4 linked regions of the Schizosaccharomyces pombe genome follow. The gene in region 4 interacts genetically with the main gene of each other region. Each region holds a gene or a part of one and is shown on either strand. Other genes may lie near its edges.

What was found.
Region 1: mutations in ste20 (region 4) and tif452 together harm fitness more than expected from each alone (negative genetic interaction), as found in Schizosaccharomyces pombe (one large-scale study listed by BioGRID).
Region 2: mutations in ste20 (region 4) and apm3 together harm fitness more than expected from each alone (negative genetic interaction), as found in Schizosaccharomyces pombe (one large-scale study listed by BioGRID).
Region 3: mutations in ste20 (region 4) and iqw1 together harm fitness less than expected from each alone (positive genetic interaction), as found in Schizosaccharomyces pombe (one large-scale study listed by BioGRID).

Annotation. Positions count from the first base shown.
Region 1 is NC_003423.3:1,132,404-1,139,118, forward strand, and holds tif452 (translation initiation factor eIF4E, 4F complex E subunit isoform 2, stress response factor), read left to right. Parts: upstream 1-1,990; 5' UTR 1,991-2,095; coding exon 2,096-2,572; exon of another isoform or gene 2,573-2,662; coding exon 2,663-2,802; exon of another isoform or gene 2,803-2,859; coding exon 2,860-2,974; 3' UTR 2,975-3,216; downstream 3,217-6,715. Other genes in the region: met7 (putative folylpolyglutamate synthase), read left to right, coding at 1-28, 338-1,639; NifU-like protein nfu1, read right to left, coding at 4,404-5,186; protein Swi5, read left to right, coding at 5,653-5,661, 5,714-5,799, 5,965-6,127; MIS12/MIND complex Mis12, read right to left, coding at 6,345-6,715. UniProt on the Schizosaccharomyces pombe protein: Recognizes and binds the 7-methylguanosine-containing mRNA cap during an early step in the initiation of protein synthesis and facilitates ribosome binding by inducing the unwinding of the mRNAs secondary structures.
Region 2 is NC_003423.3:1,256,682-1,263,297, reverse strand, and holds apm3 (AP-3 adaptor complex subunit Apm3), read left to right. Parts: upstream 1-2,624; 5' UTR 2,625-2,657; coding exon 2,658-2,698; intron 2,699-2,742; coding exon 2,743-3,162; exon of another isoform or gene 3,163-3,210; coding exon 3,211-4,027; 3' UTR 4,028-4,109; downstream 4,110-6,616. Other genes in the region: reticulon Rtn1, read left to right, coding at 1-620; protein dbl7, read left to right, coding at 1,458-2,279; Smc5-6 complex non-SMC subunit Nse5, read right to left, coding at 4,229-5,395; prf1 (RNA polymerase II-associated Paf1 complex protein), read left to right, coding at 5,912-6,000, 6,051-6,224, 6,272-6,616. UniProt on the Schizosaccharomyces pombe protein: Part of the AP-3 complex, an adaptor-related complex which is not clathrin-associated. The complex is associated with the Golgi region as well as more peripheral structures.
Region 3 is NC_003423.3:3,159,759-3,167,545, forward strand, and holds iqw1 (WD repeat-containing protein), read left to right. Parts: upstream 1-3,381; 5' UTR 3,382-3,413; coding exon 3,414-3,474; intron 3,475-3,519; coding exon 3,520-3,613; intron 3,614-3,659; coding exon 3,660-4,344; intron 4,345-4,385; coding exon 4,386-5,884; intron 5,885-5,935; coding exon 5,936-6,026; 3' UTR 6,027-6,144; downstream 6,145-7,787. Other genes in the region: SPOM_SPBC609.01 (Dis3-like exonuclease family protein), read left to right, coding at 1-1,454; phosphatidylinositol-3,4,5-trisphosphate3-phosphatase Ptn1, read left to right, coding at 2,065-3,111; plasma membrane spermine family transmembrane transporter Caf5, read left to right, coding at 6,922-7,787. UniProt on the Schizosaccharomyces pombe protein: Ligand-dependent coactivator of nuclear receptors that may function as a substrate receptor for CUL4-DDB1 E3 ubiquitin-protein ligase complex.
Region 4 is NC_003423.3:2,472,015-2,482,097, forward strand, and holds ste20 (target of rapamycin complex 2 subunit ste20), read left to right. Parts: upstream 1-3,864; 5' UTR 3,865-4,124; coding exon 4,125-8,054; 3' UTR 8,055-8,448; downstream 8,449-10,083. Other genes in the region: SPOM_SPBC12C2.14C (uncharacterized protein), read right to left, coding at 1-42; SPOM_SPBC12C2.03C (methionine synthase reductase), read left to right, coding at 1,616-3,331; SPOM_SPBC12C2.01C (uncharacterized protein), read left to right, coding at 8,917-9,873. UniProt on the Schizosaccharomyces pombe protein: Component of TORC2, which regulates multiple cellular processes to control cell growth in response to environmental signals. TORC2 is required for cell survival under various stress conditions.

The sequences.
Region 1 (6,715 bases), 1.3 Mb from region 4:
ACATTGGCTTAGATGCATTGGATATCAGGTAAGTTACTACTTATAATTAGGAATTACAAAAGAATAGCACTCAAATATTTTAAGCCGCTGCATATGATTAAACGAGATTGAAACAAGTATTTGTATGTCCTTTATAGTACTCGATTGTGATCCTTTCTTTAACTTCACCTTATTTTTAATAATAATAATCTCATTGAAAGGACAGCACATCATGTCTATAAAGGGAAATATCAATAGGAATTGTTGACTTGGCTGGTTTAGCCTGTATCTCTTTACGAAATCTTTTTGTTAATAGTTCTATACTGTCATGCAACTTTTACTAACTAATAAATCTCAGCCATCAGATTTGAACCGACTAAATGTCATCCATGTTGCTGGAACTAAAGGAAAGGGTTCTACATGTGCATTTACATCCTCAATATTACAGCAAATACAGAAGAGTGGAGAAAGGTCGATTCCAAAATGCATTGGTATGTACACTTCTCCTCACCTCCGATCTGTCTGTGAACGTATTCAATTAAATGGCAAACCTATCAGTCAAGAGTTGTTTACTAAATATTTTTTTGATGTATGGGAGCGCCTAGAGAATGCTGTCGGTAGTGATTCGGAAAAGCCAATGTATTTCCGATTCTTGACACTAATGGCATGGCACGTTTTCATTTCAGAGAATGTCGATGCCGCTATCATTGAAGTTGGGATTGGTGGTGAATACGATTCTACAAACTTAATTGAAAAACCATATGCCACAGCAGTTACAAGCTTAGGTCTTGACCACACGTCTTTGTTGGGGAACACAATAGCAGAAATTGCTTGGCAGAAAGCTGGAATCTACAAAGAATCAGCTATTGCCTTAACTTGCGAGCAAGCTCCCGAGGCTATGAATGTTTTAAAAAACCGTGCTGCTGAACGAAATACATCACTTAAGGTAGTCATACCTCCTGCTGAATTAACGCCGGATATGATTGGTCTTTCAGGAGTTCATCAGCTTGGAAATACATCCCTTGCAGTTTCTTTAGTCCAAGAATTCTATGAAAAGGCCGGGTGCCCTTTTGATAGAGATCCATATCAGGATCCAGCAATTTTGGACGGCCTCAAGTATGTAAAATGGCCTGGAAGATGCCAAATTGAGGAAATCAACAACATAAAATGGTGTTTTGATGGAGCCCACACCAAGGAAAGTTTGGAGGCCACTGGACTTTGGCTCGCATCCAAGAAGAATCTTTATGAGGATGCAGATGCCCGTATTCTTCTGTTTAACCAGCAAAGCAGGGATGATCCAATTGCTTTACTTAGGTCCTTCTTAAAAGGATTGGAAAGCTCGGGAACTGGGATTTCGTTTACGCATGTTATATTCTCAACCAATGTCACCTGGAAGGATGCAGGCTATAATCCAGAGCTGTTAAGCATTAATACCATTACTGATAATAAGCCCGTTTTGCATGTACAAGAGGATTTATGTAAATGGTGGAAAGAATCGAAGGGCACGACTAGTGAAGCAACAGTAGCCCCTACCATCCAAGAAGCTATTGAGACAGTGATGTCAATTAAGCAAAAATCCAGGAATACTTTTGTTTGTGTCACCGGAAGTCTGCATTTAACTGGTGGTGTTTTTGTAGTACTAGATCAAGCTGTTTTTTGATTGAAATGGAGAAAGGTTCTACATTTTGCAACATTGTTTTTGAGATTTAAATGATTCTTAGATATACAACATAGCTTTATGCATCTTTGTAATTACAAAATGATTTTTAACAATTTGACACGTAAGGGGAACAAATTTGATTTCACGAATTATAATAGTATGCAGATAAAAAGCTGTGTGAAATTTGATTATACTCGTGCATTTCCAATCAAACAAATAATTTACTGTAAAGCTTTAAGGCTGATTATTGACTTTTTATATATACTTAGCCAATATTTAAGGTATGAATGTACAATTATATTTTACAGGAACAGTGTGTTGAAAGTTGCTTTTGCTTGGATCTCGTAACCCAATTACGACCACCGCATCTTTTCAGCATCCAGCCTAGTTTACAAACTGCCTATTATAAAAACGTTTTAAGCTCTTTTAATATTTTTGTTTTTTTAAAAAAAGCAAATGGCAGATGCAGAAGACTCGCGTCACTCAAAAAATGAGGGTTTTCCCAACACTTCCTTAATCACAGAAAAACTAGATCTATTGGATTTATTTGGGTCACCAAAAGTTAAAACTGAAAGAGAGGGACGTCCAGCGCGCCTTCTTGAAGGTCTATCGGCTGTTAATGCTGAAACTGCATTTGTAAAAACACACCCCCTTCAGCATGAATGGACATTGTGGTTTTTGAAACCACCTACACAAGGTCTTGAATGGAGTGATCTTCTTAAAGAGATTATTTCCTTCAAGACAGTGGAAGAGTTTTGGGGCATCTTTAAGACGATCTCAAAAGCTTCGATGCTTCCCGCCAAATCGGACTACTCTTACTTTTTGAAAGGTATTCGTCCTGAATGGGAGGATCCTCAAAACATGAATGGTGGGAAATGGGCCTACCAAAGCAAGCACAAAGGTTCAAATCTCGACGAGTTGTGGCTGTATATGGTAAGTCATGGTCTGTTCATTTTAACTGCTGTGATATCGACTTTACAGAATGTTAATTTTTAAGTTGAAAGTATTAACGTATGGAAATAGGTGCTGGCAGCCATTGGAGAAACATTAGACCCTACTGGGAAAGAAGTTACTGGTGTAGTTTGCAATATGAGGAAAGGATTCTATAGAATCGCTGTATGGACACGAAATTGTAATGACAAAGATGTTTTGGAAAAAATCGGGTATGTGAAGTTTTAAGAGTAACGTGTTGGTAGTTGACTGGACTAACAAACATGTAGCCTGCGCTTTAAAGAAGTTTTAGGGATTTCTGATAAAGAGACTATAGAATATAGTGCTCATGAGGATTCATCAAAGGCTGGTAGTATGCGAGCAAAAACCCGTATGAGTCTTTAATGATATCAAGTTTCAAGTTTTTATTTTTACTTTCTAAGGCTTGGTAAATTATAGGGGTGTTCATTTACGAATGACAATATGTTATTGCAATCATTGCCCTCTTGTTTTTGAGACCTCTAAAATACCAAGCTTATTGAGATGAGATAGATGCCTCTTTACAGTTAGTGTATTCGTATGAATAGTTTAATTTGTTATATTTGTTGAGCATTTTAATAGGCTAATGGATATAATCTATATTTGACCCTTCTCTTACGTTATAAATATTAAAATTCTATCAAGAATGTAAATATGCTAGATCGCCAAATCTTCCTATTATTCATAACCGCCTGTATATTAAACATTTATCGCTAGCTTATTTCAAGCTGAATAATGTCTACTATGATTTTACTATTTCCGAGGATCTAATGTAATGTTGGAACTAACCTTTATCGCTAAGGATCCATGAATGTTTGAATCAAACTAAAATTTCGAAATAATAGGCGACCTTCATTTCTTCTTATCATTGTCGAAATCGGATAACATTAATTAAGAAGATAGCCCTTTTAATCGAATTAATGCAGCGCTTAATGAGTACTGGGAAAAGTGGGGAAATTTACTTGCAACTTCTGTATGCTTAGAATTAGATATCTGGTGAAGAAGTATCTACAATCAGACTTTTCAATGTACTGTACGGAATATTGTCGAGTATCAGTGCACCACTTCAATTCCAAATCTATCGCTTCGCTTATACTCAAAGTTTTTTAAACAAATAAAGCTCAGCACTAACTTCATCATTTGGTTAATCAGCAATTAGCAAAGATGAAATGATTGACGAATATTTCGTAACGCTGATACAATCTCCCAACTCCAAACATAATTCGCTTATGTATACCTATTTAATAACCTAGAGCTTAATTGAAAATATACGAATGCATTACCACCTTTTCTAACTAGTCAATTTTTCGAGTATCGTTTTTTAAGCAAAAGAGAGCCAAAGGCTAACATTAACTCAACTCCGTTCTGTGTATCAATTCTCCTTTTCAAATTTCGAAAATAGTCATCTGCGTACAGGGACATCAACGAAACATTCCAACAGTATTTCAAAATTTTTACTTATTTATTTCATAAATATGTACCCTCGCTATTATTAAAACATTTAAATATCTCTGAATAATACAGGTGTTGATGAAACCTGTAGTTTATATGATACACATCTTCATTATTCGTACATAAAATTTGCAGTCGAAAATGAACCAAGAAAGTAACATTATATGATTAAACAAATCGTCTTATATAGTAGTATGTGTTTTTTATCGAATACAGTGTAAATATTCATTGTTATTTGCTGTTTTTTCTTAAAACTCATAAATAGCGTTTTGTTCGTCAATTATTAATTTCTATCACCAAAGTCTTTTAAATGAACCAAATTCCCTATGTTGAATGGAAAAAGTTACTTGTTATCAGCTTTCTGTTTGTTTCCGTTAATGCGCTGTTCAAATTTTTCAAACTCGGCAATTGCAACCTCCTCTTCTGGATCTAAAACTTGTACAACATTTTCCACTTCCGGAATGTAATGCTTCAGCATTTGCTGAATTCCATTTTTTAGTGTCACAGCTGATGACGAACAGGTTCGACATGCACCTCGAAGTTTAAGAGAAACGGTACCTGTCTTCTCATCAAACCCTCTAAATTCCACATCACCACCGTCTTCTTGGATAGATGGACGAATGCTAGTCTCGATCAGTTCTTTAATCATTGCAACAATTTGACTGTCGCTTTCTAATATTTGAGTATCGCTAGCCCCCTTTAGAGGCTCTTCAGAGAGTACTGGGCTTCCATTACTTAAATGCTCCATAATTACACTAAACACTTCTGGCTTCATTTGAGCCCATTCAGTTCCTGCTCCCTTGGAAACAGTAATAAAGTCCTTTCCAAAAAAAATGCTATCAACTCCATCTATATCAAATAGTTTCTGTGCCAATGGAGAATTCACAGTTCCTTGTCCTCTCATGAATTCACAGCTTCCGATAGTTGGAGGCAAGATATCTAGCCCTGGCAGGAACTTCAAAGCGTTTTCGTTCGGTGTCTCCTCCGATCGGATCCATATGCTGCGAATTGCTTGCAATTGGAAACGTGGAGTGAAAACGTTACCAGCTGAAGATACTGGTAAAAAGGTTTTCTTTTGGAATGCTGTCCTTAAAGATTGAAACGGCACAACTCTAGGAAATAACATGCTTGGAATCAAATCGTGCTTTATCCAATAAGAGACAAAATATTAAGACAAGTTCAGAATTTGAAACTTCTTAAGTATACACTTCAAACAGATGGGAAAATTTAAATGTTTATTAACAATTTTTAAATCAGGAAATGCTAATGTAAGCAATTCTTTAAATACATGCAAGAAGGCAATTTGTACATGGGCATACGAAAACCGATGTGATCCTTATACTTTCTTATACAAATTAGCGAAGTTCATTATATTGAAATAAGCCATTGTTCGTGATTCAACAATTTACTTGTCTTTCATCACTAATCTAAATTCTCTCTTACAAGAACAATAGACATTGTTTTCAATTGAACAAATCGGTAGGCTCCTGCCTTCCTCAACAACTTAATTTCTACTAGGTGTTCAAAAACAGATACCTTCCTAGTAAATTTCACACATCATTGCTTCATTAAGAAAGAACTGTTTAAATCGTATGGAAAAGGTAAGCCAACGGTACCATTGTTCATTCACAAAATACTGATGAATTACTGCAGTCTCAACTTGAGTCACGCGTCCATTTGCTTGAACAGCAGAAGGAGCAATTGGAAAGTAGTTTACAAGACGCTTTAGCTAAGCTAAAGTAAGTGTGGTAAAGTGATGCTAGAAATGGTAGAAAATATGAGTTATGCGCCTTTACGCGCGTTCAGGTTCATTTTGGGAAAAGCAATGTATTGCCGTTCCATCAAATCTATTCAAGTCATCATCAAGCTTGTCTCGTTTTATCTAATGTTGACAAATGATTTAGAAATCGAGATGCTAAGCAAACTGTACAAAAACATATCGATCTACTCCATACCTATAATGAAATACGGGATATTGCTTTGGGAATGATTGGCAAAGTGGCAGAGCATGAAAAATGTACAAGTGTCGAATTGTTTGACAGATTTGGAGTTAATGGGTCAGAATAATTATTATCCATTCAGTTATTTAGGAAAAAAGAGAAGTTAAACAAAACAAATAAAAATGTAACGGAAAAAGTGACAGAGACAATCCAAGTTTTCTTTATTAAGCATTACTTTGCTTTCGCTAGAGATCCAACGCCAATTCTTATATATTTATTATGAAAGTTTACGTAAACGATCACAATTGTTAGAACATCTCAAGACTTTAGCTAGTTGATTAGTATTAAGGCTCGTCAGTATGTCCGACGTCTTTTTCAGATGACAATAGCAACTTATGAATGTTATTTGCAGTTTCAGTATTGGCTGTCGATTCTAGTTTTGACAAGTGATGTGACCAAAAATCCTTTTGCTGGTCGATGGGATTAGATAATCGTTCGTAACCTTTTTCTAAGTAGGTAATTCTTTCATCCACCTCTCGTGAGTGTACAGTGGGAGAGGCTTCAACTACTCTTTTAACGGCATGCTGCAGATTACCAAGTTGATCAAGAAGGAAATCGGTAGTTTCTGGTAAAGTAACTTGCCAATTTTCGGGTACTTTGTTGAGAAAAGAAATTCTTTCCAAATGCTTTTCTATTTCTGTTTTTTTTTCTCTTT
Region 2 (6,616 bases), 1.2 Mb from region 4:
CTGCTTTGGAGGCCGGTTGCCCTTTTACCAACACTACTAAGCAAAACGTCGATCCTGAGATCTCTAATGCTTTGTGGTCTGTGTTGACTTGGAAGAACACCTCTTGCAGTTTCTCTACCTTGATGAGTATTCTTGCTCTCGTTTATGTCCCTTCTTGGATCAATCTTCCTCGCCTCTTTTTCAGAACTTTCCGTTATGTCTTTTTGATTACCTCCATCATTGAATTCGGTGGTCTTTTCGCTTCCAACGGTAAGCGTGGTGTCTTGTCTCACTTCCGTTCCTCCTACATCACCTGCGACTCCAAGGCTCTTGATAGGATTGTCAACTCAATTGTCGACATTTTCAACGTTATGTTGATTCAATTCCAACGTATCTTGTTTGCTGAGAGCCCTATTTTGACCTTTACTGCCTCTGTTGCTGCTTTTATTGAGTTTTTCCTTAGTGGCTTCCTTTCCTACAAGTCTCTCTTTGTTTGGAATGTTTTGTTTGCCTTCATCCTTCCCAGATTGTATGTATGCAATGAGCGCTCTATCAAGCATTTGGTTGCTTCCCTTGAGAGATCTGGTGATAAACTTAAAAAGCAAGCTACTGAGACTATAAACACCACTGTTAACAAGTAAACCTCTGCGGGATAATTTGTTTGATTGTTTCTGTCAGGTTGCGCTTGATTTTTATTTGGTTCGCTTCCTCGTTTATTTTAAGGTTTCAATAGTATCTTTTGCAAAAAAATGCAAGGGTAATAACCATGGTTTTGTTTTCAACTTTGAAAATGTGTTGCTGTGTTGTGTTGCGTTTCAAAAGTGTTGTATTATGACTTGAATTAGGAGATTGAATGCGTTTTCTCAATTATTTTGCTTATGACTATGAGTGTTTATTTTCATAAATACGTCTTTCTCATCTCGATATATTGTAAATGTAACAGGTTCGGCTCAATCTCTCATTTCTCTTCTGAGTTGCAAACTATTGCAGTGTGGTTGAAGTTCTTGTTGCTTTGCTCAATATGATGCTATTTTATTATATTTTCTCTGCTTCGTTTAATACCCAACGTACTTATTATTCGTAATTTAATCTCGTAATTACTCCGTGTTGTTTTGTAGGTCCTCCTCGTATTCCTTATTGCTGCTCTTTTCGAAAAAAAAAATATATATATATATTTTCCATAACTAAAATGGGTCTGTGGACGAAAAAATCTATTTTGTTTAACCAAATGACTAAAGTATTTGTTAACCAAAAATTATTATTTTTTTTCCACTACTTCGTATTTAATACAGCCGATCATACAGTAAAGTGCTGATTACACTCGCATGATCGTTGTCTGCTCTCACCACAAGTCATTCACTTATATCAATGTTGTGCCAGCTTTTTACGTTTAAGCTCAAAATTTCCTTTGTATCCATATATTAGGATTATTGAAATTCAATTTATTGTCAATTTATCATGCCGCAACGCTATTATACATGAGTTCCAAGAAAGTCAAATACAATCCTCGAAAAAGCGCATCTCAAAATGAAGCTACCTCAGCTTCAGCAGGTAGCAAAGCTTTTGGATTTAATTCCGCGAAAAAGGAGAAACTTCATAGAATGGCGCTGTCTATGGAAGCAATTGAAGATGTTGAGGATCAATCGTTCAATGGCAAGTCTTCCAATCTAGTCAGAAAGCGTCGGGGTTTGGATGAAGACATTGATGAATTTTCTTCTTCATCAGAGGATGAAAGAAAGCCTGCTCGACATCCTCAAAGCTCCTCTCAAAAACCATTTGCTAGCTCTACATACAACGTAGAGCTTCCAACATCTCCGACTAAAATTACCAATATCGGTCAGTCAAGCCCTAGAGCATTGCGCTACCTGTCTCCAGAATCTCAGAGAATAAAAAACGCCAAGATGAAGTCGCCTATTTCAACACATCTGGCTAAATATTCTATTCATCACATGGGTACTCCACCATCTAAACCGTCATTCTTGAGTTCTAGCGTGTCTTCCCCTGCATCTAGTAAACAAAAATCACTTTTCCAGTGCACAAAAGATCTCGAGAAGAGATATATCAATCGTGTTCATCGTTCATCTGAAACTGAGCTTGTGCAACTTTCTTCCATTAAAGTTCTCGATCGATTTCTCTCTGACATATATCTAGTTGAAGCTGAAAAAAATGAGGAAAAATGCACAGTTTTACTTCTAAAACGTTCTAATACTGATGTAGACAATAGTAGCTCTCTATCTCTTACTTTACCTTTGTGTAAATTTACCAAAAATGGGCATCAAGTACACATACATCCTTGCTGATTCATATATAATGCTTTTTGCTATATTTACACAAAGCGTAAAGTTCATTGTGATATATTTATTTGTCATATATATATATTTTTTACAAGTATCTTAATCTACGACATTTATGAAAGGTGGTTTTCTGTTTAATCTAATTAATTTTTCAACCTGAGGTTCCTGCGTACCTTTTAGCAACCCATTTAAACGGTTTAGCATGTCAACAGTAGCATGGCTTAATTACTATTAATTACTTAAATTGTTTATAAATTAGGCTTTAAAAAGATTGAGAAAGGACATCTATGGTTACCCTTTCCTGTACACTAGAAGACCTTCTTAATCCATTTACCTTCATACGTATTCATCACCAACCAACCGCTCCTTTCATAAAACTTTTGAATGAGCACAATAGAAGCAATATATCTTGTAGACACTAATGGGTATGCGTTAGCTGTTTATTTACTTTATTAATCAAGTTGACTAGGGCGTTACTACTCCAGTTGGAGTCTCGAGGAAGGACATCTCCCATAACGTTAGAACATATAAAAAACGAACTTTTTCGCTACAAACTTCGAAATGAGGAGCCTCCATTTATATTACATAACAAAAATTTTTTGATATTTCAAGAGTTAGAGGAAGATGTGCGTTTGTGTATTCCTACAACTTGCGACACTGAGCCTCTCTACATTCATGATATTATGAGACGCATTGTGGATGTAGTTAAAACATTTTTTGGTGGGTTTAATGCTTCAAAGGTCGAGAAAAATGTTTGCGTTATTGTCCAGCTATTAGCTGAAATGATTGATTATGGATATGCAACTTGTATGGAACCAAATGCATTGCAGGACATTGTACCACTCCCTAGCTTTATGAATAAGTTTATGGCAGTTACTGGTCTACAAACGTATGTTATTTAGTTTTCTGTTTTTGCAGTGCTAACCGCATGATTTAGAAATACACCGACTCTTGCAAGAGATACCGTTCCTTGGAGAACAGCTAAAGCAAAATATGCAACCAATGAATTTTTTATTCATGTACTTGAACGCGTATCAGCCGTTTACCAGCCTAACGGAAAACTTGCTTTTGGCACAGTTAAAAGTGATATGGAATGCAAATGTCAAATATCTGGTATGCCTTTACTTTTGCTGAGTTTGAGACCCGGCACAAAACTAGGGAATGTTCGGTTCCACCAGTCAGTCAATTTAAAAAGATGGAAACAACATCCGGATCAGATTGAATTCATTCCACCGGACGGAAAATTTACATTAGCTTCTTTTCAAACAGACTTTGCTACCCAGAAATCTTTGCCTGTTGTTGTTGAAGCAAAAAATAAGTTGGATGGAAGGTTCGAAGTACGTATTCGAAACACCGGGAAAAAATCCGTTGAAAATTTAAAAATCCTAATAACTATTCCTCAAGCTCTAAAGAGCGTTACGGTTACCGAGGGAAATTATATTTTTCGTGCTTCCAAGTATACTCATATGGAAGAAGGTATTCTGGAGTGGTCGGTAAAAAAATTAGCTTGGACATCCCCGGCCTTAGTGTTGACAGGATTCCTGGCCCCCTTAAAGAAAGATGCCAATTCAACCGAAGAGTCAAGTAGCTACTCTAAGCTTGAGCACCTTGATTTACAATATAAACTTCAAGGATCAACCCTTCATAATTTTAAAGTAGAGTCATTGAAGATGCTTAATCATCCAGATAAAAAATCTTATAAAGGGGTCAAGCATACAATTATTGCACAAAATGTTTCATTTCGTTTTCGGTAATAATTAATTTACTTTCTATCTACCCGTTTGTTTATTATATATTATTCATATAAATTTCATTTTCTTAGTTATCACTAATGATTATAATAATTATTTTCCACACAAAGCCTCATTCATTGAAACGATACATATAGTCTATATATATTAGGATACACAATTAATGCCAAATGACTTCTGTTAATTTGTAGTTAAATTATTAAGTTAAACGATTTTATCCAAGGACAATTTTTTTGAAATATCTAATAATACAAGCATGTCTTTGAGTATTGCCATTGGTCTATCAATACCAACTAATTCTGTTTGTTGATACATTGTGTATAACTGCTTCAACGTTGTGTAAAATAGCTCTTTATCAAAGTTGCGATCACTTTCACGAAGGGCCGAACCCAAAAATGAGACCCATGCTCGTAGATGTAGCTTCTGTCTGATTTTGTTTTTCGGAAGGGAAGTGGGTAAAAGTTGAGTTAGCTGTTTAGTAAACTCACAACGTGTATGGCGTATGTTAATTCCAATACCTATTCCTTTCATAAGTATATATTGGCTCAGGCAATACCGGAGATTGGAGGCGCCTAAGTTTCCAAAGAAAAGATCTTGTTGTTTCGCATTCAGTTTTGAAAAACGTTCGTCGAGTTTGCTAAGAAAATGAAAAGCGTCTGTCAGATGTACAACAAAAAATCTTCCCTTCGGAAGCATAGCCCATATAAGGCATAAGAGTTTGGCACCTAGGTTTGCTAGTCTTGATGTTCCTTCAAAACTATTTGAACCTCGACTTTCTGTTTTAGCAGGTGCTTTGGACATACTTGTTGCAAAAGGTGATTCCATTGTTTGCTGGGGAAGAGTGAAACAGGAGAAGCAAATTCTGATGGCATCTTGAAGTTCACACAAATCTTCTCCCATGTATTTTTTCATCAACGCAGATCCGTTTTCCTCAGCATCGATCTCTAATATCCTTAACCATATGTCCATCAAGGACATCCAACGTTCAAGGTCAGGAGGACGAGAAGACATGTATGCAATTAGATCCCAATAATCAACATCTTGGGTAAATAAGCATTGGTTGGAGAAAATCTTCAGATAATTTTCTTTAGGCATATCGTTGTCCGATAGATCATTTTCAAATGACCATGCGTCAAAGTTGATTTTGCTTCTGTTCTCAACCACCTGCTGTAATATCCAATTACAGCTTTCTTGAATATTAGAAGAGGTAGGATATTCTGGGTGGACTAGAAGAGTTATGCACATTCGTATATAACAAGCTGGAATTGGTATAGAGGTCGTCGATAGAAGATATTCTAAAACATCTAATGATTTTGGCAACAAGTCTTCTTCAATACAAAGCTCTATTATTGCCTTTAGAGCCGAGTTCATTTTGAAATGGCGTAAGCAATCTTTGCTACTTTATATGTAAAAGAAGCCAGATATGGAAGAGATATCTTATTTCTTAAAACGATTTTCTTTGTAAAAGAGCATTTAACATGTGCCCTATTTACAGTCTTGTGATTATTATTGAATGGTTTGATTCACGAATTTTATATTGTAACAAAATGCAGAATTCTCAGTTTGAAGTTTTTACGCGACAGAAGAAATATATTCAAAAAGAGGGAAAGAGGAGGACCCCAAATGAGCAGTATTTTAAAAGGAAGCTTTCAACGATAAGGTTTGTAACCAAGGAAGACAACATCTGCAAAAATTATTTCGTAAAAAAAAAATTAAAAAAAAAATCACTTTTCAAATTATAAAAACATTATTCTTTTAATGTACTAGCAGATAGTACCTTTGAAAGCTAGTAGATAAAAGTTTCGCTGCTGTTATGAAATTGGTGGAGAGTCCTTGGAACCGTTATTAGTCAGGTATCTAGCTAATCTGATCCTGTCCTCCACCAAGATGGCCGACTTTCAGGATGAATTGTTGGCATTAGCTGGTATTGATGACTCAGATGTTGCTTCAAACCGTAAAAGGGCTCATGATGATTTGTAAGAAAGCAAATTTATCGGATTGACCTTGCTAACAAAACATATTTTAGAGATGATGTGTTGAGCAGCAGTTCAGACGAAGACAATAATGAAAATGTTGGACAGGATTATGCGGAAGAGTCTGGAGGAGAAGGAAATGAGAAGTCGGAAGACGAATTTGAAGAAAAATTCAAAAACCCGTATCGTCTAGAGGGCAAGTTTAAAGATGAAGCAGACAGAGCAAAGTACGTTGATTTTTACATTTTTCATAAAGTTGTCTAACCAAATAAAGGATAATGGCAATGACGGAAATTGAGAGAGAGAGTATTCTCTTCGAACGTGAAGAAGAAATTTCAAAGTTGATGGAAAGGCGTGAATTGGCAATTCGCCTCCATCAGCAAAATGCTCAGTATATGGCGCAATCTACTAGAAGGTCTACTCGTGACAAGCCTTTAACTTCAGCAGCCGCTGGCAAACGTGATAAGCTTACTGAGCTGAAAAAGCGCCGCCAGGAACGTTCAGCTAGAAGCGTCTCTGAAAGAACTAGAAAAAGGAGCCCTGTTTCCGATTATGAAGAACAGAATGAGTCGGAGAAGAGCGAAGAAGAGGAAGGTTACTCTCCCAGCTATGCTGAGGA
Region 3 (7,787 bases), 690 kb from region 4:
TACCGAAAAAGGTCTCAGAAGAGATTTCCCTTATAGAGGGACATGATTGTTTAACAATTAGTATAGTTGTACAGCTTGATTTGAAAAGCGGCGCTGTTTTACAGTGTTCCCTTGGGCCCTCTGTAATCCACCCGTCAAGTTTTATTAGTTTAGAAAGTGCACAAGCAAACTTGCAAACCAACGAAGCGCTTCAGCTAGTTGATGCATCGGCCCATGTCCTTACCAAACTAAGATTGAAAACAGATAAGAAACTTGACTTACAATCCTTATACTGCTTTGAATTTTGCGATGGGCAGATTCCTAATATACAGAATATTAACATGAGTATTTTTGAGGCATTCCCTATTGCATGTTCTTTACAACAAATTGAACATTGGGTAAACGAGAAAGTTGCATCTCATTTAATGTCTGTTTTTCCCAGTAAAGTGATTTTGCGAAAAAATCAAAGACCTTCTGACTTTGCATCTCTTGTTGCAGTTTCTGAGTTAACCGGAGTGAATTTATCTGCTTCATCTACTCCTTCGGAAATCATGACCGAAATTGCAACTACCAAGGATAAGAGAACCAAAATGTTACTACAATTGACTCTAAGAAGAATGTGTAATGAATCTGAATACACTATCGGTACTTCAAATGCTAAGGATGTTTCGCATTTTGTGTTCTCTTGTCCTTACTACACCCATTTTTGTCACCCTACTCGTAGATATATCGATATATGTGTACAGAGACAATTACGCGAAGCCTTTGATGGCAGACCAGACTTTTCCAAAGACTACAGAAGTTTACTTTCTATAACTCAGTCTTGTAACACACTGAGCAACTTCTACCGTAATGCCCAGGAAAAAAGTCTACATGCATATTTATGTCAACTTCTCCATTCTATTAATTTACGATCTGGGCTCGTTAAGCATAAGGCTTTTGTTTTGGCTGTTGACCAGGAGTATATTGACATAGTCATATACGAATTTGGCTTGGAAAGAAGGATCTCCTTGGATCTGCTACCGCTTAGTAACTGCGACTTTAATGAGCAAAAACACGAACTCTATTTATCATGGAGGACAAATGCTTCTTTCTTTTATGCTTCATCTTCTTTGGAAATTGATACACCTTGTTTCAATGACTTTAAGAAAAAATTTTTGGATTCCAACGGGATGTGCAAACAAATATGCGATATGATGGATGCACAGGTTCGGGATTTAGCTAACGCTGCTGAGTCCCAGGAGTCTTTCTATTCAAAGGCTCGAGGCAATGACAGTACTAGTAAAACAGCTAAAAGTTCCTCTGGCAATCAGGATATTTCCGGAGATGGAAAACTTCATAGTTTACGTATGAAAGAGCCTGAGGTTGTTCAAACCATCCGTCCAGGCCAAGAGGTTAGTGTACTTATATTTGCTGATACTTCCGCTACTTACTCACTCTCGTTAATTACTTTACAAAGTCCTCTATCCAGTTAATCTTCAATAACTGGTGATCTTCGCTAATGTGTATGCCTCACGATTTATTTTTAATGTATGATTAATTGCATATGTCTAACGTTATATACTTCTACCACTTATTTCTTTTTACCTAAACGTTTTGGATTTATTTTAGAGGATTCGAATAATCGCATGGGTTTGTTTGTTTTTTGGTGGACTTAAATGTTTTTAAGGATTTTTATCAAAATATTTTAATGCTTATTTACGGTTCATGTCTTACGATTGTATTTCTTATTGGCTTTTTTTATTCATTTTTCTCATTTTTTTTTTTTTATTTCTTTATTATTTTTTTTTACTAGTAATACTTTTGCATCGTTTAAAGGGAAAAGTTATGCCCTTATGTTTTTTTCAATAAAATGGATTATCAAATCATTGCTATCAAAATATATAAATAATTAAAAGTAAATTAGTTATTTATTCACGTCACTATGGTTGATACCTACCCGCTTAAAGTTCATTACTAAAATCTTTATTGTATTTCTCTTATTTTCTTCTGAACAGTGCAGCTTACCTCATATTTCAACAGTCAACGGCATCTGCAGTATTATCCTAGTATATTACAAATAACTAATTAAACATGTAATTTTCCATGAATATACTTCGATCAGTAGTTTCGAGGGGTCGAAAAGGCCTCAAACAAGAAAAAGTGAATCGTAGCTTTGCTTACTTAGATATGGTTTATATTACTTCCAAGGTAATTGCTATGTCTACACCGGCTGCTGGAATACATAAGTTATATCGAAACGACGAATTGGATGTATTTAAATATCTTACAACGCAATTGAAAGACAACTGGATATTGTTGAATTTATGTGCCGAAGAAACAGTTTACCATTTGGAATTATTTAAACCAAATGTCATAAATTATGGATTTCAAGATCATAATCCACCTCCGCTTCTCTTTTTATGGGCTATTGTTATGAATATGGATGCACTCTTTCAAACGCAACCTTTGTTGACATTGGTAGTTCATTGTAAGGCCGGAAAAGGACGTACAGGAACTGTAATATGTAGCTACTTGGTAGCTTTCGGAGGCTTGACAGCCAAGCAAAGTCTTGAACTATATACTGAAAAAAGAATGGTTCGAGGGCACGGTCTTACCATTTCATCGCAAATACGTTACGTCTATTATATCGAAATTTTAAAACAGTTCCCGAATTATTTGAAAGCTGTGGAATTTAATACTGGTACCACTTTTTTTAAAAGTTTTAAATGTTTGAATATTAAAAAAAATTCATCTTTGATTCTATCATTGCATGCCTTCTCTAAGGGACGAAACATAAATCCAGTTGCTCTGTGGAAGAGTTCAGATATATCATCCCATAATGTAAGCATAAAAGAAGGAAAACGTATATGGGGGATACAATGCAACCTAGAAACATCGGAGAAAGACCTTTTGCTCAGAGTCGAACGCAAGGGCCAGTTTTACTTTCCTTCGAGTGTGCAATGTTGGTTTCATACTCACTTTCAACCTATGCTTGTGGAATACACAAACGGGATAAATTTTCAACAAGGTATAAATTCCTTTCTGCAAGGACAACAGTCAATTTCGTTCTCCTGGTCTGAAATGGATAATAGCCGACGAAGTGACCCCTTTTTCGAACAACTGACAATTGTATATGAAAATGTTTTTTGATATTTTGTAAATATTATATTAGTGTAAAATAAAATGATTATTTGTGCAATTAGATCCTCCTTTCGATCATCGAAATAAACTCACATGTTGAAGTGTTTCTACTTCAGTAAATTACAGAGGCGCTTCAAGTTTTTTTTTTAAATTTTAAAAAAAACATAGGAGTTTGAGTTTAAGGCTTATACTCTAAGATTCGAGTTTGCAGTTACGATTTATGGTATTAACTCATCGTGGCTACATTACCGACATCCACTTGAATTGAGCTTGTCTTCCACCAACGCTTGTTAATCGCTGAATTGACTCTCATGTCTGGGATATCACTATCCTTGCGTCAATTGGATTATAGAGATTGGTTTCAGCGAAAAAGTATGCTCTTGTTTTGTTTTTGAATGATGCTAACTAGTTTATTAGTCAGTCGAGATATCTACGGCAATTCGACTTGGTTGACCGGTATAGATTTGCAGAAAGAATTAACTGGTCATACGGGATGTGTTAATACACTAGAGTAAGTGTTTTATAACAATTTGTTCTACAATGCTTACAATTTTCAGCTGGTCCGCGGACGGTGAATTCTTGTTATCAGGAAGTGATGATACAAGACTAATTGTCTGGGATGTTTTCAATGAATACAAGCCACGGCATTTAATATCTACTGGCCATGTTCAAAATATCTTCAGTGCGAAATTTGTCCCATATTCTAATAACCGGCAAATATTGTCTGCTAGTGGTGATAAGCTTATTAAGTTGTTTGATTTAGATTCAAGTAAAGAAGGAGGAATGGATCACGGCATGGAGACTCAAACTAGATGTTGGAGTTGTGCTCTTGATTCTGTTAAAAACATCGTCCCTTGTGACAATGGTCATACTTTTCTAGTTTGCAGTGAAGATGGGACGGCTCGTCAATACGATATTCGTGAGCCACATGTCTGCAATCAAGATTTGGATTGTCCTTCTATACTGGTAAATTATAACCCATATCGCATCAATTTATACACTATAACCATGTCCCCTTCAAACCCTTATTATTTTGCAATTGGTGGTACTCATCCGTACGCGTTTCTATATGATCGCCGGATGGTTAAAAAATCTTTCCGGGATGATTGGACTATGAACACTTCTCCCGAAAAAGACTGCCGTTGTGTTCGTAAATTTAGTCCAGATGGCTCATGTAATTCCCAAGGTATCTTGGATCGTTATATCACTTGTTGTCAGTTTAGTGCTGCTAATCCTAATGAGGTAAGTCTTATTGCATGGGTGATCTCTAATGTTTGTTATAGTTGCTTGTCAGTTGGAACTCTGATTATGTATATTTATTCCATGTTCATGAAGATAAATCTTATACACCAACTTTTAATAAAATAGAGGATTCAAATAAAAAGCCGTCTAAGCCTTCGTTACTTCAAACACAGCCGCTGAAAAGGAAAAATTACTCGCCATGGTATAAGAATAACTTTGGTGCTTCTACTCCAGCTAGTAGAGTGTCAAGAAATCCGTATACAGCAGCCCAACCTCGAAAGCATACATTTTATCAGATGTATGAGAATATCGAAAAGTTTTTTACTACCGAAAATGGAGGACTGTATGAGAGCATTGTTAGCGGTCGTTTATCTCATTTTTCTCGCTCTATTCAGTACGTTAAAGACGCTATTTATTTCTTGGAAAATTATAATTATATTCCCGATTCAAACGGTTTGAATCATAGTATCCGCGTTAGTGCTTTACGTTATTGGAGAGCGTGTGTTTCTATTTTAGCGCTTATGGATGATACTGTGAGTTTGGAACCGAACACCATTATACAAGCTGGCTGGGGATGGTTGTATGATTTTATGAATTGGGTTACACGATATTTGTTAGGAATATCGGACCATTGGGCACTACAAATGTCTCCGCCTACGAACGTTGCTCGCCAAAACTTTGTTTTGTGTGATCCTGATGAACCATCTCGGGTTTTATTCTCAAATCCCTCTGAAATGATTAGGGCATTTGCTAGGATAGATACTAATGATTTATCTTCTGTAAGGCGGTTTTTTTGGATACATAAAGTTTTACGCGGTTGTCTTCTTCTTATATCCTCCGATATCTACTGGGAGCAATTTCAGCCTTGGGACAGCAGTACTTCTGACGTTACTTCCAGCCAAAGACTTGATGATGAAAACGGGTTCTTGACATTGTTGGAACCGCCAGTGAACTATGAAAATGAAGTTGAAAGTAGTTCGGGAGAAAATATTGTCAGTATGTATACTGGGCATTCTGATCTCAATGATGACGATGATGATTACCAGGATGAGGAAAGTTACTCCTATGCTAGTGATGATGATGATGAAAGTGATGAGGATTCGGATGAAGGTCCGACTTTGTTGTCTTTAAGAATGAAGAAGCGGAAAGCAGTGGAACCAAATGTGCCGGTGAACACACATGTTAAAAGTTATTATGGTCACTGCAACGTAGAGTCTATTAAAAATGTTAATTTCTATGGTCAAAATGATGAATATGTCATGAGTGGTTCTGACGATGGCAGGTTTTTTATTTGGGATAAGTTAAATGCTTCCATTCTTGCAATTATCCATGGCGATAGTGAAGCTGTTAACGTTATAGAAGGGCATCCCCGTTGTCCCACGCTTGCTGTGTCCGGTATTGATTCCACCGTGAAGATATTCAATACTGAGAACACTCCACCATCAGGTTGTTCAAGGAACCATACTTCCAATAGTTACAAAATAATTGCTACCAATGAAATGAATAGGCAGCAGGGGTCGCGAGATTCCTACATAACGAGGTTTGTTGAATACTTCTAATTTGCTCATGTAAATACTAACCGTTCTTCTAGTCGTATGTTGTCACATCTTGCATATCGTGCACATTTGGATGATGGGTTTGGACACGAAGTGCTCGATACCGATGCTTGTAGTATTATGTAACTGAGGAAGTTTTTTTTGAAGCTCACATTTTCTCTATTAAAACTATTTATGATTAATGATTAGACATTTTCAAGTAAACTTAATGTTGTGAAATAACTATATGATTTTACTTTTTGGGATAAAGTTGGGAATTTAAGCGAAGTAGTTAAAAGCAAGACAATTTCGGCATATTCATTTGGACAAATATTAAGTGCGTATGACTGCAGATGTTTAATAGTCATTTTTTATATAAGCTTTTCTTTAAAAGTAAAATATTAAATTTTAATTTTCTTGAAACATCGTCTTCAAAGGAAAACGGCAAGCATAGCAATCCCTCTTATTTTCTGTCTTCCGTCGATCGTCTACCTACTTAATCATAGTTTGAAGTTAAAATTGTTTTTAACGACATCATTTTTTTAAGTAACTGTTGTATTCGCATTACTCTGAAAAGAATTAATTCATACTTAGTTTTGATTAGTCATATAGTTCTGTTTTTACTTTTTAATTTCGCTTTCTTTTGCTGACAAAAATTAAGGCAGAATTTTTTACGCGAGATGACGATCGACTGATGTACGTTAGAAATGTTTGTTGTAACTTCCAATCTTAATTTTTTTTTTGTTTACATAAGCAACAAGATGATTTTGCACTTTTAATACTGCTTACTGAAACGACTTAGAATACGATGGATAATTGAAAGAAGGAATCTCACATAATTGACTAATCAATCAATATATGCTTACTTTACACTTAGTAAACATTCACGTTGATTAGGTAAGGCACGAAGGGTATATTAGGAGAAGAATGTAGCCAGACAATTGTACCAGCAAGTGTGGGCAAATAATCTGTCAAGTTTTTAATAAAGTTAACCGAGACCAAAAAATAGAACTAACTTTGGTTTTTACATACGGTCATTTAAATGGGATTTTTAAGGGAAACCGTTTTCGGCGAATTGGTCGAATACGTTTCTCACAACTCCAATGACAACGACTTAGAGAAACTGAGAGTATGGAAAGACATTAGCAAAGTAGATTCCAATGACTCATGCAGCTCGGAATCCGGCGATCTGAAGATTCATGAAGTTAATTCAGAGGGACACATTATTGTGCGATGGGATGATGCCAACGATCCCGAAAATCCCCTAAATTGGCCTTTGTGGGCAAAGCTTGTGGTGACTTTTGATATTTGCTTCTTAACGTTTGCGGTTTATGTGGGATCAGCAATTTTTACTCCAGGTATATCAGAAATGCAAGAAACGATGCACGTAGGAACTGTTCCCGTAGTTTTGGGATTGACTCTTTTTGTACTTGGCTATGCCATCGGTCCCCTAATTTTGTCTCCACTCTCGGAGATTCCACAAGTTGGTCGCCAAAAGATTTATGTTCTTTCTCTCCTTGTATTTGTGTGTTTACAGATTCCCACCGCACTGGGATCTAGCTTGGGCGTCTTATTACCAATGAGGTTTTTGGCCGGTTTCTTCGGCTCGCCAGCTCTAGCGACTGGAGGTGCTACTTTGGCAGATATTTGGCAACCATGGCTTCTTCCCTACTTTATGTGTTTTTGGGCAATTGGAGCCATCGGTGGTCCAGTTTTGGGACCGTTGCTTGGTGGAGCGATGGTCGTTGCTGAATCTTGGAGATGGCAATTTTGGCTTTTGATGATGATTTCTGGCTTTGCATTGATTGTTATCTTCTTTTTTATGCCAGAGACTTCTGAATGGCATATATTATATAAGAGGGCAAAGAGGTTCCGTAAGATAACTGGAAACGAAAATTATAGAACAGA
Region 4 (10,083 bases):
CGTTTTGCGACGCTTCTTGAAATTATATTGTAGCTCCTCCATACTTTTTTAATCAATGTGATCAAGATGTTTTTGTATATATAATAGGATGTATCGCTTCAAGTACTGACAACTTGAGAGAAGAATTCCGTTTCAAACGGGAATAAAAAAGTGTTTCTTTCTCATAAATATTCTCTGCTTCTTTTTTAATTTTGTCTTGTTCCCATAAAACATTCAACATACGCTATCACTTGCAACCATCGTTACTCATTCCTGCCACGGCATTCTACTTCCCTAGTTACAAGTTTACACTTTCCGTAACCTGATACGTTCAAAGGTCTCAATTCGCTAGCGCTTGTATCTACCCATTGACACATCTCACACAACATTTATATATATATATGTATGTATTCATATATATTTATGCAAAGTATCTCGACTTGTAGGATTTTTTACAACGCAACAAACACAATACAAAGTACGAGTACATAAATAGAGAGATATAGTAAAAAAAAGAAAAAAGAAAAACTTGCTTACACTTACAAATTTGCTTAGAGGTATATACCAAATTCTGCAAGAGTTTTCTCTATTCTTGAATTTTTTATTGAAACTTAGAAATAGCAACTTTCTTTTTAGCCCTTCTACAATAACTTTTGCATACTCTACTCCCAACATCCATTTTCTCATCAGCAATCCTAGTCCAAGCTTGTCATTCCAACCTTCGTCAGTGGTAAATCTCGTTTTCAATCTGAATCGTCGATCTTTGCGTCATTATTGAGCCGTGGCATTCCTATTTGATCGCTCTTCGTTACGGGCTGTCGGAGGAACATAACGTGTGATTTTAATTTGACTAAAAATTTTTTATCAGATCATTTTTTTTTATTGGCCCTTCTACTCAAGTTGCGCAAGCTTGAGCACCTTTTTAGTCATCTGTTGGGTGAGTTTATTAACAGACACTTTGTTTTGCCCTGGTGGCTTAAGGTACCGTACATCTCATTCCTGTTAACAAGGTAGCTAGCATCTTCACCTGTCCTACTACCACCTACTTGTATCTTCGTACACATACACCACCCAAGAGAGGCGACTTTGCTTCATATCTGATACAAAACAAATACAATACAAATTATTCTTCCACATTTGTTTGTTTGCTTCACTCGTTCTCATTTGCCAGCCCTTTTTATCGCCTTTGCTTTTTCCTTCAGATCGTCTGGTTTTAACTCTACTTTTACCACGCCTGTAGATTCCAAAAATTTCTTTGAACATCGTACTAATCGGTTTATCCTTTTACGTCTTCTCCTTCTTTTTATTTAAAATTATCTTTCTAGGATTCGGGTTACCCCACCCATTGGTTTGGAATCGTTGTGTCTTGTGTATCTATCTTATTTTTAATCCGTTTACTCGTTTTCTTCCCCTTCTCTAAAATTTTATTCTTTTTTTTTCTTTTGTTTTGTTTTGTTTTCTACTTTTTACATCCTTGACTTTCTTCCTTACGATTGTCATTTTGTTTATTTAAAAGTCTTCACTGTCTTGTTAGTTTCCATTTGTAATTCCTTTTCATCCGGCAGCTTGTTTGCCTTTTTCCCCTTACTATTTTTAATACTTTTCTCTATCCACTTCTACTTTATTTTTTCTCAAGATGGCACCTTCTGTTGCAACCTCACTTAAGGCAGAGATCCTACCATCTCCGCGTACCTCATCTCCCTCTTCGAACTTTAAAACGTGTGTTTCCAACGAGAATGGTTGTATAAACTGTCGTTGCTCGCCTTCGGAACCTCATGAATCGGCCAATGTCGATGAGTCGGTAAATAAACTTTCCAAAACCTTCTCCAAACTTTCATTAAACCCTACCTTCCAGGCTTTGAACATGGATCTAGGTCTTCTACATGAAAATATTACTCTTGACAGAATTCCCAAAGTTCCCGAGAATCATGTCTCTTTGATTGATATCGATGAGGCTCGTGCCAAAGAAGACCCCAACTTTCAAATTCATTCAACTCCTTCTAGAATGCCTCCTCACTATGTTCAACCACACCCTCCGTTCAGTGTCTTTCCCGCCCCTATACTAGACGTTCGTGAGCTCACTAAACCAGGTGCTGTCAAACGTGTGTTCCATTTTGAACTAGACGTTTCCAACTATCCCCTTCCTGAAGGCGAAGAGTGGATGGTTGGAGGGTCGTTTGGTGTAATGGCTCCCAACAACGAAGAGGATGTGGATGAGCTTTTACAATTACTTCATATCAATCCCGACCAGGCAGATGCCCCTGTCCTTTTAAAAACCGATGGAGGTCGTTGGCCCACCATCTGGGCAGAAGACACACCTAGAGAACTCGTTACAACCAGGCGTGAGCTTCTTAAATGGACCGTGGAGTTTATGTCTGTCGCCCCAAAAAAGCAGCTTATTCGGTTACTTGCCGAATACGCCAAGGATGATACCGAGCGGCAAGTTTTGTTGTTTTTGGTCAGTCGTTTGGGACAACGTGCTTTCTGTGATTTAAGGGACCACAACGTTACACTTATCACTCTGCTAAAGGCTTTCCCTAGTGTTCAACTTCCTCTTGATCACCTTTTAACCGTGCTTCCCCAGCTTATGCCTAGATGGTATTCTTTGTCAAACGATCCCAAGGTCAGTAATAATGTATTGGAATTTGCGGTTACAGTTGTTGAAATCAATAAAGTTGAAGGAGGCACTCGTTCTGGTATTGGTTCTGGTTTTTTGAAAAGATTGGCATTGAGATTTTTAAATGGTGAACGAGATCTCGTCCTTCCAATGTACCGCGGTCTGCACAAAAACGCATTTGCCACACATTTTGCTTCTGATGGCCCTATGTGCCTAATCGGTGCCGGTGTAGGTGTTGCTCCCTTTAGAGGTTTTGTGCAACGACGTCTTACAAATGCCACTTGTGCTGGTAAAGTTTGGGTTTTCCATGGATGCCGCGACCAAGAATTGGATGAGCTCTATCATGGTGAGTGGGAAAACCCGCTTCAAAAGTCTTCAGACGATGATGCATCTTCTACAGTCAGCCAACAAACCGAAACTGAAATGGATTCCTTCGAAGTTAAAAAAGACGGTACTAGTGGCCCCAACCATCTTGTTGTTGAATCACGTTCTCACCAACATGCCTATGTACAGGACGAGATTCGACACCGTGGTGACATTGTATGGAGTGTTCTTAGTCATCCTCATGGGAAGGTTTATCTTTGTGGTGGTAAAAAGGGATTTTTAGATGGTGTTGAAAATGCCTTGATTGATGTTTGCGTTCAATACGGAAAAATGAGCAGGCTGGAAGCTACCCAACAACTTGCTCTTTGGCAAAGTCCACTTAACCTTAAATACATAAAGGAGATTTGGTAAATGAATGAAGTTGTTTATCCACGTTACCAATATTTATTTTTTCGTTAAAATTTTTTTTTTGTTTACTATCTTTTCACATTATTTTCGATTCTTTTCTGTCTTTTTTATTATCGTTTCGTTTTAAAAAAATCTTTTTTGAAATGTTTCGAAAGCAATATTTGTATCTCAAAATGGCATTTTAATTCTATATTGGCTTGGGCATATCTGTTAAAACATTTTTTGTTTAGCCTTTTGTTTCCATAAATAAAAATATAAACAAATTTTAATAGTTGATTGTAGTAATATAATTTACTCATCTTATTCTCTTGCTTTGATTTATCCTTCATGTTTTCGTATACTGTTAACTAGCAATCTTGAGACTGTAAAGTAAACATTAAGGATTCGATTCTTTAGTGAACCAGTACCTAGTATCTAATTATTTATTAGCGAATTCTAAGGAAATTTGTTTTGCCCATTAATAGCGAAACATCACTCCATGTCGTACAATCGTTAACGCCGGTAACAGAACTCCGATTAAGTTCAGCCGTTGGGGTATCCATGAGCATACGAGCATAGTTCGCAAGCATTATCATTTTAGGACTCTTCACAATCTTAAGTTATTATTTAAGTGTTAATATCTTTAATTTTACTAGATTGCTTAAAAATTGAGAGTTTGACTAGCCCAGTAAGCAATCGCGTGTTGCACGCAATAAGTATTAGTACGAAAACATACTATCCCTTTATAAGGCTATTTCATGAAGGCGCTTATGGAAGGAGATAGCTTTTTTATTCCTGCTTTTAATGATCAGTGCTCATGAAACCTGTGCGAAGGGGACAAACCGATACTGCTTTGGATATAAGTTCCCATGCCAAAACTAATGGTGACTTTATCAAAAAAATGAATACCACTGATTCAAAAAGGCTCAAGTTACTTGAGGATTTGAAGGGAAAGCTCGAAGTTGAGTGCAAAATACGGGATGGCGCTGAAACGTTGCTGCAAGTCTTCGACACCAATTTTAAAAAAGAAACAAAAGAACGTAAAGAAATGTTAAAAAAGAAATGTACCGATGAGCTCGAATCATCTAAAAAAAAGATAGAGGAATTAGTTTCTAGCATTGAATCTTTCCAAGGAGAAAATGGTGAAGCAAAAACTGGCTCAACCAGTCTCACGAGGTCTGCTTCTGCGACTGTCAGTCGAAAGAGCTCATTGCAGGAAAAGTATAGTACGAGATTTTCTTACAAAGCAGGATGTAGCGATAGTTGCAGTGTTACAGTCAGTGGGACTGGTGAATTAATAGGTCCTACCAGAAATGCGCATAGCAATTTAACTCCTACCGTCATTCAAAGAATTGACTTTGAAAATGTCAACGAAAAAAATAATTCTTCTTCTGAAGATACTCAACCTAACGGAAAACGTCCTTCTAGTTTGCAATCGAATTTCTCACAATTTCCATTAAATCCTTGGCTTGATAATATATATAAGGCTTGTCTTGAAGGCAGTATGAAGGATGTAATCGATTCCTCAAATAATTTATGTGAATACTTACATGAACATTCTGATCCCGCTTATGCAAAAAACTTCTCCTTGATTACTCCGACCATACTTTCAATGCTCGAGTTGAATGTCTCTGAAGTTACGGCTTCTGTTTATAGACTACTAAGGCATTTGTTTCTTGACGCAACAGCATTCTCTTGTTGTCAAATGTTGAATTTACCTTGGATCTTGTCAAAGTCTCTACTTTCTGGTACCGATGCATATCAAATTGAACGAGAGCAAGCATTCCGACTAATCCGAACTCTTTATTTTCTTTCATCAACTGAAGGACATGAGGATTATCTTTCAGGTATTACGAGGACTATCATTTCAATTTGTGAGCATGTATCAGATGTTAGTCGTGGAATTGCTGTTGAAACTCTTATCGAGTTAATGATTATTCGACCAAAAATTTTATTTAAAGCTAATGGTTTAAGGGTTTTAATGATCTCCCTAATCGATGGAAGTATTTCTGAGAATTTAGCAGCTAGTGCTGCACTTGCATTAGTATATCTTTTGGATGATCCTGAAAGCGCTTGTTACGTAAATTTACCCTACGATATTGGCATTTTACTTTCACCTTTTACTAGTTCTTCTTCGCGAGATACATTTAATTCCTCTGAGGAACAGTCTGAACAAGCTGCAAAAGCCATGAAATCTTCCGCCAAAGTTGCCTCTGTTTTGCTTAATTCATGGTCTGGATTATTGGCTTTGTCTACCAATGATTTTCAGGCTCTTCGGTCGATTGTTGATACACTTCGGGTTCCATCCTTTGCTCCACGAAGCGATGTAATTGATCTTTTCTTTTTAATTTTCCAAGTTGAGTATTCAAGTTGGTCAGAGTCTTTTTTGGCCGGAAAACGATTAACAGTCGTTAAAAATCAGGCTGTATCTAATGATGATAACATAAACATGGTTAATATACCGGATGGTTCCAACAAAAAGTACATGTCGCTACGCCAACATTTTACAGCCGTCTTATTATTTATATTTTTGGAGCTCGGTTTGGTTGAATCTATTGTATGTATGATTAGGGCCAGCGATGACCCATCAGCCTCACGTAAAGCTACATATCTTCTAGGAGAGGTATTGAGGCTGTCTGATGAGCTACTGCCGATTCATTTAGGAGCCAAAATACAATCCTTGCCATCTTTATTTAATATGGCTTCTCAATTTACTGCCGAAGACAGGTTTGTTGCCACTTCTGTTCTTCAATCCATTGAAAGTTTGAATAGAGTTAAATTCCATTCTGCAACACAACCTTTCTCGCAGACAACCTCTCTTCTTTTTAAGGAGCAAAAAACTGATGGATCTTTTCGGGGGCAAAGACAGGTTGAGCATGTTAAATTGAAAATGGGCATGCAGATTGATGATTCACATTTTCGTAGTATGCTAGCTGAAACCAACGTGTTAGCTACAAAAAACTATCAAAAATGGCGATGGGATACACTTGTCCAAATTATGGAGGGTCCATTGCTAAGTCCGAAACGTATTGATGAAACTTTGCGAACCACAAAATTTATGAGACGGCTTTTAGCATTTTATAAACCCTTTTCCAACAGATTTTCTTCCATACAAAACACTAAACCAAATCAAAAATTTATAAAGGTTGGTTGTCTTGTTTTCAGGACTTTACTAGCCAATCCGGAAGGCGTTAAATATCTTTCTGAAAGCAAAGTGATTAAACAAATAGCAGAATCTCTTAGCCAGATAGACGGATATTCAGAACAGGTTTCTGAGCCGATTTTCTCGAACAGTAGGCTTCAGAAAACCCTCACCCACGGTTACTTTCCTATGTTAAAAGTATTGTCAAGCCAAAAGGAAGGTCATGCAATTATGGAACGATGGAGGATTTTTACTACACTTTACCATTTGACAGAATTGAGGAACAGAGACGATCTCATAATTATTTTTCTGACTAATCTTGATTATCGGCTAGAGGGGCACACACGAATTATATTTTCTAAGGCGCTTAATACCGGGCAACAGGCTGTACGCTTAACTGCAACCAAGCATCTTGCGGCTTTAATCAATTCTGAGTCTGCCAATGACAACTTAAATCACTGGGCAATTTCTCTATTGATATTTCAACTGTACGATCCTTGCTTGGAAGTATGTAAAACAGCAGTGAAGGTGTTGAATGAAGTTTGTGCTCGAAATGAAAACTTGCTGGCTCAAGTTGTTCAGCTTCAACCTTCATTGGCCCATTTGGGTGAAATTGGCTCACCTTTACTTTTACGTTTTCTTGCTACAACTGTCGGATTTCATTACCTTTCTGAAATTAATTTTATTGAACATGAACTCGATAATTGGTACCATCATCGAAATATAGATTACGTGGATTTATTGGAGCAAAATTTTTTCCTTTCTTTTGTTTCAAATCTCAAAATTATTGACAAGAAAAACAATGAACCAGATGAAAATATACTTCCCCTACACTTTTATGGCGAATTAGTCAAATCTCCACAAGGTTGTGAGGTTCTCGAGTCTTCTGGGCATTTTGAATCTTTTATGGGTACCTTGGTGGAATTTTACGATAAACCGTTAGGAAATGAAGCCATCAGGCAGTTAAAGAGTGCTCTTTGGGCTATAGGAAACATTGGAAAAACCGATCAGGGTATTACGTTTTTAATTAACCATGATACGATACCGTTGATTGTCAAATATGCCGAAAATTCATTGATTCCTACTGTTCGAGGAACTGCTTATTTTGTATTAGGCTTGATTTCCAGGACTTCTAAAGGCGTTGAGATACTCGAATCACTGCATTGGTATAGCCTTATGTCTTTAATGGGCACTTCACAAGGAATTTGCATTCCGAGACATGCTGGACAAGTATTATCAACTCCAAGGAGAAATGTTGAGTTTGTAAATGAGCGCGTGCCAACTCCTGAGTTTTCTTCATTACTTAGCTCTTTAACTAACTCAGAGAGAGAGGTAATTAGGCTCGTTTCCAATTTGTCAAACCATGTTTTAACAAACGAGTCAGCACGGCAACTAACAAAGATTCGTTCGAAAAATGCTAAAGTTTTCTCCTCTAAACGTTTGGTGAAAGCTTGTATGACCATTCTGGGAAAATTCCATTACCGTGTTCAGATTCAACAATTTGTATTTGAATTATTTCCTTACTCGGTTTTATTGTCTTCCTCAACCTCACAGGACTTAAATGAATCCCCGTCCAGGCCGAATAATTTGTCAATTTCCGCATGAACTCCAAATTTCCGAACCTTCACTTTTCTAAAATTTTTGTAAATTAATGATTTTTATGATTTCTTATTATCGTTTTTCTTCTGTTATTCAATAAGTTTGATCTTTAGTTTTCTGCTTATTCTTTGACCTTCCCTCTTTGTTTCTTTTCATAAGTTTATTTACTAAGTTAGACTAGTGTTTACATAAAAGGTGATTGCGCTAGGGTTAGTAATGAGTTTATAATTGTTTTTGGATGTTTAAATTATTAATCTAATATTTATAAGACATGTCTGATACTTGCGGATATTTTTTTGAATTTGTGTAGTTTAGGTAGGCCTGCTTAGCCCCTGGCCTCCATACGATAGTAATATGAACAAGAATATATTGCCTTTCATCTTTTCGTGCTAATTTTTACTTTGTACGCTGTTATTATCAATATAAAAATTGCGTACCACAAAGGTGTACTTATATGTAATACCCATGCTTAGCAAGTTATGCTCAACTTCCACATACAACGTATGCAACGAACGGCAGCCTCATGTTATAGTAAATTAGCAAATCCTATATAACTAAACGAAAGTGTATTTGCTTAACATATCGTGGAGTTTGGGCATATTTCTGCTCACAAGTAAATCTCATACAACATCGCATTTGGTTTTAATTTGTTTTGGTTGTTCGCAAGGAAGAAGATTATTCTTTAAAAAAAAGGAAATAAATTTATAAATATAATTTGAAAAAAAATATATATATATATATTTGGGTTTTTACACTCTTTTGACTACATAACTCGATAGGTTTTCGGATTTGTTTAATAGACAAAAGAAGGAAGTACGTTTAAGGGTTTATTTCTATGGAACATTATTGATTTTTTTTTTTTCTTGCTATGTACAATGTGACATACAGGTTACTTCGTCTAAGCTTGATTTCTTCTCATTCTTTAAGAAAATCACGGTCCTTCGATGTCAAAAACTTTGCAAATATTCATTTTTTTATTCCCTTACCAAACACACCAAAAAAGTTTTATTCTGTGAATGCATTTTCCCCTTTACTAAAAGCACGGCGCATGACAGCTACGATTGTAAGCAATCATAATGTTGGTTGTTCATGTTGCTACTTTCGACAGTATAGCACAAAACAATTTCGTGATTTAAATACCAGTGAAGCTCTTTCTCCATGTAAAGCTGAACCGATACCCTATAAAATCATGTCTTCCATGAGTAATTTTTCAGATTTTAAGTCTCGATTTTCACAATATCGAGAATCACATTTAAAGCTACTAAATGAGCTTCAAAATGTTAAAGACACAAATGATCTAAAAGACAGAATACGCTTACTTCATCTCAATAGCTCTTCTAAACTTAATGCTTTTTTACACGATCTTATAAACGCGCCAAATGTGTCAGCAGAGATGAAGGAAAATTGTGTTCGTCTGATTTTTTTTGGAAGGAAGTATGATCCTTTTCTTAGATCGAGGATGTTCACTTTAACTATTCGTTACTTTCTACTTCAAAAAAATAGGCTTAGGACTAGTTTTTATTTATTAAAACATATGGAGTTATTGGCTCTTCCTGCTTCTTATGAATTGAAAACAACTCTTTTAGAGTGGTTCTTACGAAAACGAAAATTTGAAACAGCTCAAAAGATTTTCCTATCGCTCTGCTTTTCCCAACATTTTCCCTCCGAAAAGTTATTGATGGTTTTACTTCTTCATGGGACTGAAACTATGCAGGAATATGCGATGATACAGGCAATAAATTTTGTGAATACAGAACAAAAGTTACGGTTTTACGATAGACTACACTCGATTTGTAGCAAGTTAAAGTTTTCCTCGACGGGTTGATGCTTTGGTAATAAAAATGGTTCATTTGGATGGTTATTTAAATACAATATTAAGATTTCTACTGTTTGGGTATTTAGTAAGGTAAATTAAATCATTGTAATTTTCGTTCAAATTGTAACTCATATAAATTAAATTATCCCTCATCTTGTTCTTTAGTTATTATCACGACAATAAATTTACGACTCTATTCCTTAACCGTGGGCACTATTT